Linked DNA regions of Mytilus edulis. The protein of the gene in region 1 purifies or fractionates together with the protein of each later gene. This does not show direct contact. Links are inferred from orthologs where the notes say so. Each region holds a gene or a part of one and is shown on either strand. Other genes may lie near its edges.

Region 1 (7,178 bases):
TGTACAAAAGAAGTCATAAAACAGAAGTTTAACATAATTTAAAGACAAATAACACAGTAAAACAATCATTCATAATATTGAATCACTTTATAGGTTTTAAAAAAATACATGAAAATTAATCTGAAGAAATATGGTATTGTAATTCTGATTTTATTTAGTAGATAACTATCGAATTAAAACATTTGGTTTTCATTTAGAATCAAAGATGTATGTTGCATGAAATTTGCAATTTTAATTCATAAAAACCATTTTTTAGTTGTTAATGTTTGCCCCCAATTCTTTCTTCAATGTTTTACAAACAGGTACACAACTTCTTGTTGTCGATGCTGCAAATTGTTGATTCCTAAATATGCGAATTTTAAGCATGGTGACTGATGCGAATTTCTTCTTTGTTGTAATGTAGGCCAGCTTAGGTGTTCAAGCATGGCTGTTACACTGCTTTGATACATTTGTAGCTGTATTGATTTAGTATATACCTGGCAGCTTTTCTCTGTATCATTTCAATTTTTTTGTATTTGTTGTTTCTTCCATGGGGGCCCAGACAACACTACACTATTCTATTTTTGGTCTGACATACGTTTTGAAAGCAAGTTCTTTTGTTTTTATGCTGATCATGATAAAAGTATCACAAGACTTGTAAGTCTTAAACCATTACAAAAATTATTTAATATAGACTTCTAATATTGATGCAACACTTGACCTGCAAATTTATTTGTGACACTTGATTCTGACTTAGCATTTTTTATTGTCCAACATTTAACTTTCAAAGCAATTCTTTGTGACGTTGGATATTTTCTATTGTGATGTTTAATCATTTTTTATAAAAACTTTAGTGATTCTATTAAATTAGGGGGCATATATGCAGTCTGTGCCAAACTGTTTTTGGGTTTGTCTGACCAAAAGAGAAATTTTAAGTTTTCTACTATATATTCATAAAAAAAATCTTTAAAGTTCTATCTAACCGAATGATTTTTGTCTGACATTTTGGTCTATATCCTTATTCTATCCTGTCATTTCCATTTACGGGAAAGAATGAAATGGCATATATATTTAATGTTGTATATCATGTAGCGTGAAATTATGAATAAAGGAAAGACTGCACTGCCCCTATTTACCTGTATTTCTTACATTATTAAACGAAATAAACTTAATTACTAATTAAGGTCAGATCACTAATATCGTTTTTTTTGTCATTAGAGTTATAACTTTTATTACGAAATAAACCAATATATAGATTGTACCATATTTATTGAATGTGTATGCATAATACGGCATAAAATGAGAATCAGTAACTGTATATACATGTATACAAACATATCTTTAAAGACAAAGATTAAATAATAAATATCGTTTATTTCGTAATTAGAGTATTATAAATAAACTTTGTTACGAAATAAACCGATATATAGATTATAATATATTGATTGCATTTATTCATACTATACTAATACAGAATAGTTTAAACTATCACGTATTTGGCATCACAAATTGAATTTTCATATTTCTTTCCCCCCCAAAATATCTTTACCCCTTTTTTATAACATCTCCCCAAAGAAAACCCTTTCTTCAACTTTTATATAGATTAATTAATTATTCTTTTCTATCCCGTAATAAGATACACATTTCTTATATGAAAGACACTTTTTTTTATATAGAAATCGTCTTCTATATCATGTATATATATATACTGATCCTCATTCTATCCCGTATTTGATATAAAATGACACTTCTTTATTGAAATCGTCTTATATATACTGATCCTCATTCTATCCCGTATTTGATATAAAATGACACTTCTTTATTGAAATCCTCTTCTATATCATGTATATGTAACAGGCTATTATTTGAACTTGGAATTATTTTTAATTATGGAATTTGCTTGATTTCTTGTTAGTGAATTTTTTTATAAATTCCATGTTTATTCTGTACTGAAATGCTCTGTGCTGCGCACAACACTTTCTATTACAAAGAAAATACTATATTTTCAATAGAATGTACTGTGCCGCGCACAACACTATCTAACCAAAATACATTGTATGGAAAGTTTTATTAACCGCTCAAAAGATTATAATACCACATTAACATGGAATTTATTAAAAATTTTAAACACAAGAAATTATGCAAATTCCATAATTAAAAATAATTCCAAGTTCAAATAATAGCCTGTTATATACTGATCCTCATTCTATCCCGTTTTCAATATAAAGATACTTTTTTATTGAAATCGTCTTATATATACTGATCCTCTTTCTATTCCGTATTCAATATAAAAAGACACTTCTTTATTGAACACTTTTTTAATACAGAAAGACACTTTTTTTTTTATTGAAATCGTCTTATATATACTGATGCTCATTCTATCCCGTATTTAATATAAAAAGACACTTCTTTATTGAAATTGTTGAATATTACGGGAGAGAATAAGGATCAAAATAGTACACATCTTATGACAGATATAAAATAAAATCTTTTCTTTATTCATATAAAAAAATAGCGTAGTTTATATTGCAAACCAGCATTTTTCTTCAATCCCATACGGGATAAACAAGATATAGCCACATTTTGTTAGTAGAAAGAGTTTGGGATACACTGATATATATATTGATAAGGGCATTGTAGCGAAGGCGCAACTTCAAGCTTGTTGACCACAACAAAGAAGTCTCTTTTGTATTTTTAGTGCAAACAGGGCCATTTAATCTAGTATTTGACATTTTTTTCTCATAAAACCAAGATCTTAATAAAGACTTTTGTATTTTATTGCATCCACTTCGTTCTTGAAATGAAATATCTATAGGGGTCTGGTTTGTGTGTTACGTTTTCTAGCTCTGAAAAGAATTTAAATGTTTCACAAACGATTTCTTTATACGGATATTTGTATTTAAGAGATCTCAAATACCGTTATTTTGAATTGTTTACCATTTGTAAAGTTTTGTAAGGATAATTTTGCAAAAACTTCCAAGGTTCGTTCTAAGTCCGCCATGTTTTGAATTTTCCGCCAAACATTTACTTCCGGTATATTCTAAATCGGGACCGACTGACGGACATATGTTTCGGAAATGATCAGAAAAATATTACCACCTTCAAAGCCCTCCCTACCCTCAGATGAATTCAAGATAAAAATTTAAATCGTGATCACTGGGGAAAAAAGTTTTTTATGAGTTTTAAATTAATTTTCTAAATTTGAAAAAAAAATTAGATTTTTTTTACAAGAAAGAGCGTTGAGATGACCGTATTGAAAATGATTTTCTTGAAAAAGCAAATGTTTCAACCCTACAAATGAGACTCATCAGGACACCGGCACTTGATATTTGGCTCATTTATGTTTACAAAATTTACATCATTTTAAACAAGCCAAGTTAACATTCATTAAGATATAAAAGCAACATCTTGGAAATACGACAGGTTAGAACTACCAAATACTGAGACCAAATATGATGATAAATCTAAGAGAGCGATGTCGCTGATAAAATGAGAAAAAGGACAGGACCACCATGAGGTGTATTCGAATACTTGTTTTCTAATTCAAATACCTAATCAAAATAAGAAGATTTGGTATGATTGCTACTGAAACATATCCTCAGCAGAGATGAAATGACTTAGAATTTATCAACTGTATATATATAGAGAGAGAGAAACTAAGGGGGACAGATGCATTTTCGACTGTTTTTCATAATTTTAACCGATTCAATTTAAAAAAAAAAAAAAAAAGGAGAGGACATTGACCCCTCCTTTACAAAATGGCATTAGGTTTGATTACATATGACGATTATTTGTTCCAATTTTAATGAAAAAGTGAACGATGATGGGTTTTTTTAAATTTGATAAATATACCTTAGAAAATGCCGTTTTTTTCCCTAAAATCTTGAAACTTTGTTAACACTGATTAAGCATATTTATGTAAAGAAGACTTTCATATTTTTTTTTACCAAAATCCACCTGTGTATAGCTGTTGGTATTTAAAAACAAGTTAGGTGTGTCTATCCAAAGGATAGAAATGTTAAATAAAGACCCGAAATTTTGAGTAAATGGTCCGAGAACACAATTAATTCGTAGTGCATTTCTTTTAGAACATAAATGAAAATAAAAAAAATCCCACCTGCGCTTTCTCAAAGAAACTTTTACAGTGTGTTGTACTACTTTTGGGACAAATTATATCAAATTTATAGAAAACTTCATCGCCTCTAACTCAAAATATGGCCAATTTTATGTTTAGGGCGTCTTGAAATCTTTTGACAGCTTCCGAAGTGCTCATTTTCAACCTTTTTCAGCTGGACCAAATCACTACTTTCCTTTAAAATTCTGGACCCAAATTTTTTTACAGTGTAATTTCAACCCCCTTCTTGCAATTTGAGGCAGTGAACATGGAGAAATAAATTTGGAAGGGGTATAAAAATTAATGGCAAGTAACCCACTGTCAACACTAGGGACTATATTTGTGAACAACGAAAATCAAGGGACGACAATGGTGGTCTCGGACCAAATGTCTAAAATTTCAACTTCTTCTTTGTCTTAAAAGGCAAATGTTTGTAAAAAAAAACACCTATTTCAAATTATATGGGGAAACATTGACAATATCGACAAAACGAATGAAAGAAATTGGCTCAGGGTGATTACTCTTGACTACGAAGAAGTGTCTTTCCAACTTGCTGTAAAATGCCATGAATATCTGACCCTGAAAGTTTTTTAAATCTTTTAACTACAGACTGCTCTGTATGCTGTATTTTTGTGATAAAGAAAATTCTGTAGTTTCCTAAAACCTTGTGAACTTTTGACAAAGTTACAATGCCAAAACAAACCCTATCACTATCGTGAATCCATTTACTATATTTTAACAGGACATTGAATTCCCCCATGTGCTGATGTTATATTCAAAGCTATACATGTCACTACAGGGAACACTTGAAGGAACAGTTAAGACTGAGACCGGCACAACTGACGGAACAACGAGGGTTGGTTAAAAAATGTGTTTATGTTGAAAATGCACACCTTTTATTTTCATCATATGTCCTTTATATGGGTTTATTAACACTAAAAGCATGCAGTAAGCCCGTTTATTCAAAGACATATGCAACTTACCATATGCTTTAGTTTTTATATATATTGTTATCTTATCTTACAAATCACAAAACAAAACTGCCTATCTAACTTAAAAAATTTACAACAAAATAAATCTACGCATTCTTTATTATTTGATACAATGAAAAATCATTATTAAATCATTTTTTTATATAAAAATTTGAAGAATTCATTCTATTTTCCAAGTAGAGTTGATTTCACTCGACTTCGCATGTTTGAAAAATCCCCTACAAGTAAACTCAATGCGCAAGTCCAGACTTTCCTTTAATGACAAGTAAACGAAGCGTTTCAAAGAACATGTAGTGAACCATAAATAAAATACATATTTAGATATTCCTTTATCGGATTGGTTGAATGTCACACACCTCTAACAGGCTGTTGTCATTAACCATATTGTGCAATGGAAAAAATCGGGGATTTTGTACTTAAAATATCTAAACGTCATAGTAAGTCTATATTATATTTTTTTAAACATTAACATTTCAAATTGTTTATATAAACCATAGGGTAGTCAATAATTCTTTAACTTGTAGATTTCCACAATCCCTTTACCTTACTCGTGCAGAAGTTAACAGAACGAGATGTTGACGGTTAACAGTTTGATTCCGAGTCCCGTTTCGCATACAAAATAAAATCTATAGCGTTAAAGTTTTTTAATTGCACAAACTGAAACTTTCATTTAGCTTTTTTCACGTATGCACTAAAGAACGCATATATGCAGGACTTGCTTTATATACATATATGTTAACCTATAACATTTTTTCCAACAGATGTGGTGTGAATGCTTTTTCTCTTCTTATTTCATATATAGGTTTACGTACATATTTGGGCAATTTATACACTACATTCGAGTATAAAAAAACTTGTAATTTTATAACCAAGGTCAACATGGAATTTAAATCACAAGTCACAACAAAGACATTTCTTAATTACTTTCTTTCAATGCTTATTCATTCAGGGATTTATAAAATAGTTCTAACATTAAATAATATGAAGTCAGAAATGAAAATAAATATTGTATATTTGTATTTATATCTGTCAACAGCTGTCAAACGTTTCATGCTTGTTGGACAGGATCGCTAAATCTGACACAATATGTTTTACCTTCACTGAAAGCATGGAATAACATATTGTGATATTTTCTTCTACACGGACATGGAAAAGTTTTAAATATTCGTAATGGTTGAGTAGACCTATATACTATATATGCATAAAGCATGCCACTATTCATAAAATACACAACTATTATGTTTTATTCGATAAAAATATGATCGTTATATTCCGGACCGCAGATGATGTAATATCTAACAAACGGATATAAGCGAAATTTAGCGTAAAAAGACAGGCAATTAGTAGAAACAATGGTGGTATACCGACATTTAGCCAGTGCTCAAATAAAGTTATGGGTGTCTCTTGGCATATCTTAACAACAAGCAAATAATGCTTTGGAAAACGGAATCATTCAATCATTGCACAAAACCTTAATTAATCGACTATGCATACTTCCAAATCTGATGAAATACATGCATTGTCATTTTGTTTCTATTCCTTCCCATGCATTTATCATTTAGCAACTTAATATGAGGTCAAACCAAATTGTGTTGAATCAATCTAACATGTAGAGATAAATAAATGCATGAATATTATTCTCAAATACTAATTTTTCTCTTCAGATCATCGCGCTTTAAAATATTTTACAAGAAAGAGATCTACACAAGCTGCAGCTGCCGTACAACAAGATCTGCAGCATGAACTAGAGGGTATAAAAGATGCTGGGACGTGGAAGGGAGAACGTGTCATCACATCTAAACAAGGCCCTACAATTCACGTAGCAGGATCTCAAGCAGACATACTCAATTTCTGTGCAAACAACTACCTTGGTTTGTCTGTACGTAAATTGCATGATAATTAAAATTATAGAAAAAGAGGATATCAGAAATCACAAAAAAGCGGTAGTCGTTACAGACTATACCAGCAATCACAACTGATTTCTCAGCAGACAGACAGACAGTCAAACAGACAATTAAACAGACAAACAACGAACAGGACACGGTCCAAATAGTATGACTTGTCACTTACACACAATGTGTTGGGATTATACC
Region 2 (7,776 bases), on another chromosome or scaffold:
GGAAAAAGCCTTTATTCTCCACTAATTCAAGGCAAACAATATCACTGGTTCAGGGTATGGTAATTTACGAAAAAAGTAATCTCACTTCGTACCCCGAAAATTTAACCACATATGTGAAAATGTCACAGCTTCGAAACGAGCTATCATACATATCCAAGTTTACGATATGGACTGAGCTACAGGAAAAAACGTTATCATTACTGCCTATGTAAAAACAATTAAAGATATTCGTGATCTCCAGATGTCAATAATAAATTATGTATATGAACATGTAGATGTAGAGGAAAATTTCATCTTCTCACTGACTGTTGGACTTTCCTTAAAAAAATATGAGAAATAAGCAATAAGAAAACAAACTTGCTGACTAGGATTTCCGTGTAAACAAGCTTAGGATCTAAATCAAGGTAATCAGTCAGTCAGCAAGAAAAAGCAGCTGGCTCACTAAGAATTCATAAGTGATTTGCCAGATGGAGATACCCAAGTTACCATGGTTAATAATATATCAATGTGCTAAAAATTACTCATCATTTGACAGCAATAGGTAGACTCGTACATACTAAACAGGGCCTTGTCAAATAATTAAGGAGGCTTTGAATTAGGTTATTTCAGTGTTCTCCCCAGGATTTTTTAAGGCACAAAATTAAAGGGCGTGTAACCCCTTTTATAGTGAACTTTTTGTGATCTGAATCAATCAGTCATAAATCATAACATGCAATATTGCTTTGTGTTGTGTGTTTAATAATGCAGAGTATTATTGAATTTATACAAGAATATACTATATGAAATAAATTGATTTTAAACACAAAAGTTATTTATATTCAGTCAATTAAAGAAGTCAAAATATAAATATTCATCTCTGTACTCTCTGCTACTTCTAGGGATATTGTTTCAAGATAGTGTTATTTTGTTGGACAGTCTGTTCCTCAATGTTGTCTTAATCCTCTTCAGGGTTGAAAACCCCCTCTCATAATAACTTTTGCTTATACCCCCTGAACATTTCTAAGCCATGAAAACTCAGTCAGTCACTTGTCACTGAAACCAGAAACATGGTGCTTGCTGTTATCACTTGCTAAAACTTAGCTCAGTTGGGATTAGGAGAAGCATTTATAACATCTGCTTATACTGACAGCTGAGTGTAGAGGGAGGTGTATTCCCCTTTTCATAAGAAGTCATTGATCTGAAAAAAACTTCTACTTCCATCATGTCTTTTGCTTTGATTTCACCCTTTGTTGTTTGCAGAGAACATGTTCATTCAGAATTAATAAAATCGAATATGGTTAAGATACCGTAATTGGTATACAACTTTAAAAAAAAAATATATTTTAATGAACAGCTGACAAGTTTCGTGGTTTCCGTAGTTTGACATTTATTTACGCTTCCGTGTGCATTATTGTTATAATAAAACCTATCTTTGGCAGGTAGATATAAACCAAACTTCGTTAAAGTTAAAACCATTGGAATTATTTACTAGTGACATTATACAGAAGCCGCGGCGATTCCGTACCCGTGTTGATTGTTATTTCTTTAATTTCTGCACTGAAGTTTTTAATTTTCTTCTGAAAATATCTATCTTCTTGATGATCATTTACACTATTAGTCTATTACATGATAACATAGTCCGATAAGGCTGAGATAAGCCTGGCTCAGGTAAAACTATATTATCAGATATTGCGTAACACTGACCGTAATACAGTGTATTGAGAGTGCAAATAAGAACTTGGAAAATTTAAATTGGTTAAAAATGGGTTTTCAGGATTGGGCTTCCCTTCAGTGTTTTACACAGTTCAGAGGCCTAAAACTTTCAAAAAAAGTGTAAACCCTCAGACATACAACTTATCATAAATGATTGTAATTATCTTTGAAATATGCATACAAATGACTACATTTTGTACTTCCAGTTGCAGGTCAAATAGAAGTAAAAAATCAGTAAGTTCTTGGATTTTTTTTGTGCAATGACTTTCTTTAGACTGCTGTACCCAGATTAGTTTTACTCTAATCCAAAAAATGTTGTTTTTTATGGGTTCACTTGGGTCCACTCTACATGCGACTACAGCTGGAAACATATATATCACCATCCCTCTATACTATTTCAACACCTGATGACAAACTTGGAGCTTCTTTGTATCATGAATGCCAGTTTTGATCTTGGAGTATAATGTTCTTCGTGCAAGAGCCTAAGTAGTGATATCCATTAATTGATCTTTATATTAGCAAACATTTTTTTTTGGTGCTTACCAGAAACATATCTATAGGGGTTTCATTGGGGTCTAACCGTGATGCGGGACAGATTTGTTTTAAGTGAAGTCCTGTAGGACACGGGAAATTACATGCACCATTATGGCAACGTGAAGCAGGATACAGGATTCTCACTAAAAAATTAGCGGGATCTGGGTTGAGACCCCTCCCTCCCCAAATACATGTACACCTTATTGCTCTTTGTCGGACTTGACACAGGTTACTGAGGTACCTAAAAAAAAATTGACGTCATGAAATAATCTGACACCACAATGGACAAGTGATTGTTGTATGACATCTATTGTCCACGCAGGACAGATTCTTGGATCAGCTGGGAATAGCATTAAGGTGTATAATACTCCATCTATACTGTTCTATATCTCAGCCTTGGGCGAACGAACCTGGATTCTGCATGGACGAAAATGGTCTTTAATTTTAAGAATCCCTGCTGTTTTATTTTTATACCAAAAGAAGCAAGATGGTTATGATATGCTTTATAATGTATGACAGCAGCTGGTGAAAAGACATGAACTAGAACTTCTATAAATTTTTGATGACATTTGATGATTTGTGATGATTTGAAAAATAATCTGGTTTTGAAGGTTGATGTGTTTTCTCCTTTTGTGTTTTAAGACGTGAACTACCTGTTTCAAGATTAAGCGTTCTTTGAGGAGATGTTTCCGCGTTGGAGGTCGCAACTTCCATTTCTTCTGACATTTTTAAAATTTTGTTGTTGTTGTAAATCTGAAAATGGCGCCCAAAACAAATTTTGTAAGGCAGACAGGCATGGGTTGCACTAATGACAGGATGATTGCCCGGATAGTGACAGGACGGTTGACCGGACGACATATAAATAGTCATAACTTTTTTGTTATCCGATAGATTTGTTTAATATTTGTAAACCTGAAAGATATTAAACTATATTTTATGAATATAAAAAAAAAGAGGAAAAATAATTATTTTTGAGCAAAAAAAGTTGACCGGACGGTATTCACACTCGCCAATATACGCTAAATATATATTCAACTGGTTGACGACAAGTGTTAATATCTCTTTTGTTTTACAATATTTGTCCATGAAACTCAGGAATCTGTGAGATTTATAAATATATTATACGAAAATATAAACTTGATTGCAAAAAAACGTGTTTTTCTCAAAAAAAAGTTGACCGGACGGTATTCACCCTCGCCGATATACGCTATATATATATTGAAATGGTCGACGACAAGTGTTAATATCTCTTTTGTTTTACAATATTTGTCCATGAAACTCAGGAACCTGTGAGATTGAATAATATATTACACGAAAATATAAACTTTAGGGTAAAAAAGAAAACAAATCTGCAAAAAAAGTTGACCGGACGGTATTCACCCTCGCCGATGTACGCGTTGATTATATTGAACTGAGCGACAAAAAATGTAAATATTTTTTTTGTAAACAATATTTTTTCATAAAACTGAGATATGTGCGAGATAAATAAATATATGATATGAAAATATAAACTCTATGATAAAAAAAATATTTTTCTTCAAAAAAAAGTTGACCGGACAGCTAACATTCGCCGATATATGTTAATAATAATAAATTGATTGACATAAGTGTTAATATTATTTTTTTTACCATATCTGTCCCTGAAATTTATGAACATTGGAAATGAATAAATATATTATACGAAAAATTAAACTATATATTTAAATAATAAAAAAAAAATTAAAAAAATTGACCGGACGGATTTTACATTCAATCGATATATGCCTTAATATATTGAACTGATCGACACAAGACTAAAATATCTCTTCTTTGGTTATAATATTGTTAATAGCATATTATTAAATATCTACTATTTCTGTTTGATGTAATACATCTGTATGCATATAGACAATAGACCCACTGTCCATTTTGATATTTTGTCTACTGGTAAGTTGTACTAATATGATGGCTATACAACTGTCTTTAAAAAGACATGCCTTTAAATAAAGCAATATATAGTAGCACTAATATCAATCTGTTTACTTTTGTATTTATAAATATATGTTTGACAACTGTCTTTAAAAAGACATGCTTTTGAATAAAGCAATATAGATAGTAACACAACTATCAATCTATCTATATCAATAGTTCAATAATGAATATATATTGAAAATTGTCTTTAAAAAGACATGCAAAAAGCAAAATATAGTAGAAATATAATTTGTGTGATCTGAACTGGTTGAAAGTCAGAGCATAAATGACTGAACAATTGAATAGTTATTATTAGGTGAGTTAAATGTTAATCTGAAATCCTGAACTTCATAAAATTTCTTCTTTAATTGGATACTAATTACCAACTGATTATAAGGTAATTCAATTAAATGTATTTGATGTCTCAGGTGTGAAAACTTTAATGACATGTTATTTGGCTTGATTGGTGATTACAACAAGTGTCAAAATTAGATTAATTTGATTAAATATCATTACTTCTAATATGCATTGGTGAACTCGCTCACATAAACATTTTGGGCTCATTGTTTTTACTTTAAAGTTTATTTTTCTTGTAAAATATTTATCTAATCTCACAAATTATTTCATTTCATGGACAGATATATTATAAAAATGAAGAGATATTAAAACTTGTGTTGATCAGTTCAATATATTTAAATAATAATATCGGCGAATGTTAATTCCCTCAGATCAACTTTTTTTTTTAAGAACAACATTTAACATATTTGATATAAGGTTTATATTTTCATATCAAGTACTTATTGATCTCTCAGATTTCATAAATTTGATAAAATAAAAGAGATATAAACACTTGGGTCTACCAACTTATATTAAGGCATATAACGGCGAATGTTTGTTCCGTCCGGTCATCTTTTTTTGAAGAAAAACATTTTTATTTACTATAAAGTTTATATTTTCATATCAAGTATTTATTGATCTCGTAGATTTGTTAGTTTCGTGTAAAAATATTGTAAAACAAATAAGATATTGACACTTATTTGTATCAGTTCAATATAATTAACGCGTACATCGGCGAATGTGAACACCGTCCGGTCAACTTTTTTTGGAGACAAACTTTTTTTTTCACTATAAAGTTTATATTGTCGTATCCAATATTTATTATTCTCACAGATTCCTGAATTTCATGATAAAATATTGTAAAACAAAAGAGATATCAACACTTGTCGTCGACCAGTTGAATATATATATAGCGTATATCGGCGAGGGTGAATACCGTCCGGTCAACTTTTTTTGCAGATTTGTTTTCTTTTTTACCCTAAAGTTTATATTTTCGTGTAATATATTATTCAATCTCACAGGTTCCCGAGTTTCATGGACAAATATTGTAAAACAAAAGAGATATTAACACTTGTCGTCGACCATTTCAATATATATATAGCGTATATCGGCGAGGGTGAATACCGTCCGGTCAACTTTTTTTTGAGAAAAACACGTTTTTTTGCAATCAAGTTTATATTTTCGTATAATATATTTATAAATCTCACAGATTCCTGAGTTTCATGGACAAATATTGTAAAACAAAAGAGATATTAACACTTGTCGTCAACCAGTTGAATATATATTTAGCGTATATTGGCAAGTGTGAATACCGTCCGGTCAACTTTTTTTGCTCAAAAATAATTATTTTTCCTCTTTTTTTTTTATATTCATAAAATATAGTTTAATATCTTTCAGGTTTACAAATATTAAACAAATCTATCGGATAACAAAAAAGTTATGACTATATATATGTCGTCCGGTCAACCGTCCTGTCACTATCCGGGCAATCGTCCTGTCATTAGTGGTTCCCGACAGGCATTGGTCAAAATGCTAGCTTCCGGTTTAATCTTGATTATCTTCCTTGTTAGAACACCGAGAGAGGAGAGAGACGAATATGAGATTTAGATATCCATTTAGAAATTGTACAGTAAAAGACAAGTTCATGGCAATTACACTGTTTGGTCTCATCTTGATAGGTAATTTACATATAACAGTCTTATATGATTTTCGTCCCAACTTTAATTTCAACCTTTTAAAAATATTCTTTTCAGATGCAAGATGTTTAGGACCATAGATGTAATATCCATCTTCATCTTGGTATTACATCTATGTGCGGACATACTGCAACTGGCACAACTTGAACTATTTTCGGACATACAAAATATATTATACAATGTATAACTTCTCCTTGACGGGAAGATAGATAGATATTATATTCTATTCTCTGTTTTCACAATTATGTACATTTTTTTGTAAATCAAGTCCAAAAGACAAAGGGAAACTTGACTATTGTTTAACCAAGGCCAAAGGTAGTCCGATCCACGGCCCTAGCTTGTCTGGTAAAACAGCTGTTGGACGTCAGAGTAATCTCAGACTAAGCCAAAGGTTATTAGAACAGTAGAAAGTCTTTTGAATCACACCAGATGCATACTGATGTACCCAGACCGGAGTTTAAACTAGAATGGGTACTTTGGGGGCCTTGGTTGGTCAAAGTTGTCCCCCTACTTTGACCTGGAGATCAATCTTCTGATATCTCTCTGGTTTGTCTGTTTCCACCGAGTGACCCGGTTGTTCTCTCCGAGTACTTCGGCTTCCTCCCCCATAATAATAGACTTCCTGGTGTCCTAGCACTCCCTTTGTGTTGTGTGGGGATTGATTGTCCTTGTAAAAATAATTGTCGTATAAATATACGTTAGTGACATATCTCCATTAATCCCGTTAGGGAGTGTACATGGATGCCACTGTACCCTCGCAGCTTTCGAGGGGTTCTTCGGATATCGGAGGCATTTACCTGTACATACATACATACTGAGGTCCGTTAGTAAGGGTACAGTAGTAATGCCCTTAGCCGTTAGGTGTCAAACCATCATTTTCTGCTACTGTTAGCTTCAAATAGGTTAAAATTTTACAATGATTCCTCAAAATATCCTTGTCCAGATTTCTCATCAGTCTCAAATAATTATCGTTACTGTTAATTTTGGAAAAAATTTACCATTATTTGTCATGATGATGCCCCCATTTAGACCTACCATTATAATAACAAATCAATTTTCTATGCCCTATAATGGGCATTTATATGTTTTCTGGTCTGTGTCTCTGTCCCGCTTCAGGTTAAAGTTTTTGGTCATTGTAAAAGTAGTTTTTGATGAAGTTAAAGTCCAATAAACTTGAAACTTAGTTCACATGTTCCCTATGATATGATCTTTTTCTAGTTTTAATGTCAAATTAGAGTTTTTACCCTATTTTCCGGGTCCTCTGAACATTTTTTTTTTCGTATAATATAAATTTTATTTATAAAGTATTGTGATAAGACATGTACATGTAAAAACTGTATACGGTTATTATAACATGTATAACTTTTAAATGTATTTATATTTATTATTATTTTCAAAATGTTCATTTAATCTCAAGTGTTAAACAAGCTGAAAAATAAAATGAATACTAATGAAAATTATGAGACCCACAAAATGGAAGATTAATTTCTGTCATAGTTAAATCAATAAGTAATCAGAAAATTATGAATTCTGAAATTGAAAAAAATATAATATTATCATTTTTTAA

Evidence for each region. Proteins that work in one complex are often made in the same cells at the same time.
Region 2: the proteins of condensin-2 complex subunit D3-L-like (region 1) and structural maintenance of chromosomes protein 4-like purify together in Homo sapiens (co-immunoprecipitation; 3 studies listed by BioGRID and IntAct, with this or other methods). This does not show direct contact. The link is inferred for Mytilus edulis from reciprocal best matches to the Homo sapiens genes NCAPD3 and SMC4.

The regions. Positions count from the first base shown.
Region 1 is NC_092350.1:38,287,492-38,294,669, forward strand, and holds the start of condensin-2 complex subunit D3-L-like, read right to left. Parts: upstream 3,020-7,178; 5' UTR 2,981-3,019; coding exon 2,917-2,980; intron 1-2,916. Other genes in the region: 2-amino-3-ketobutyrate coenzyme A ligase, mitochondrial-like, read left to right, coding at 5,477-5,522, 6,750-6,964.
Region 2 is NC_092346.1:88,614,501-88,622,276, reverse strand, and holds the start of structural maintenance of chromosomes protein 4-like, read right to left. Parts: upstream 3,022-7,776; 5' UTR 2,953-3,021; coding exon 2,880-2,952; intron 1-2,879. Other genes in the region: UDP-glucuronic acid decarboxylase 1-like, read left to right, coding at 6,110-6,191. UniProt on the Homo sapiens protein: Central component of the condensin complex, a complex required for conversion of interphase chromatin into mitotic-like condense chromosomes.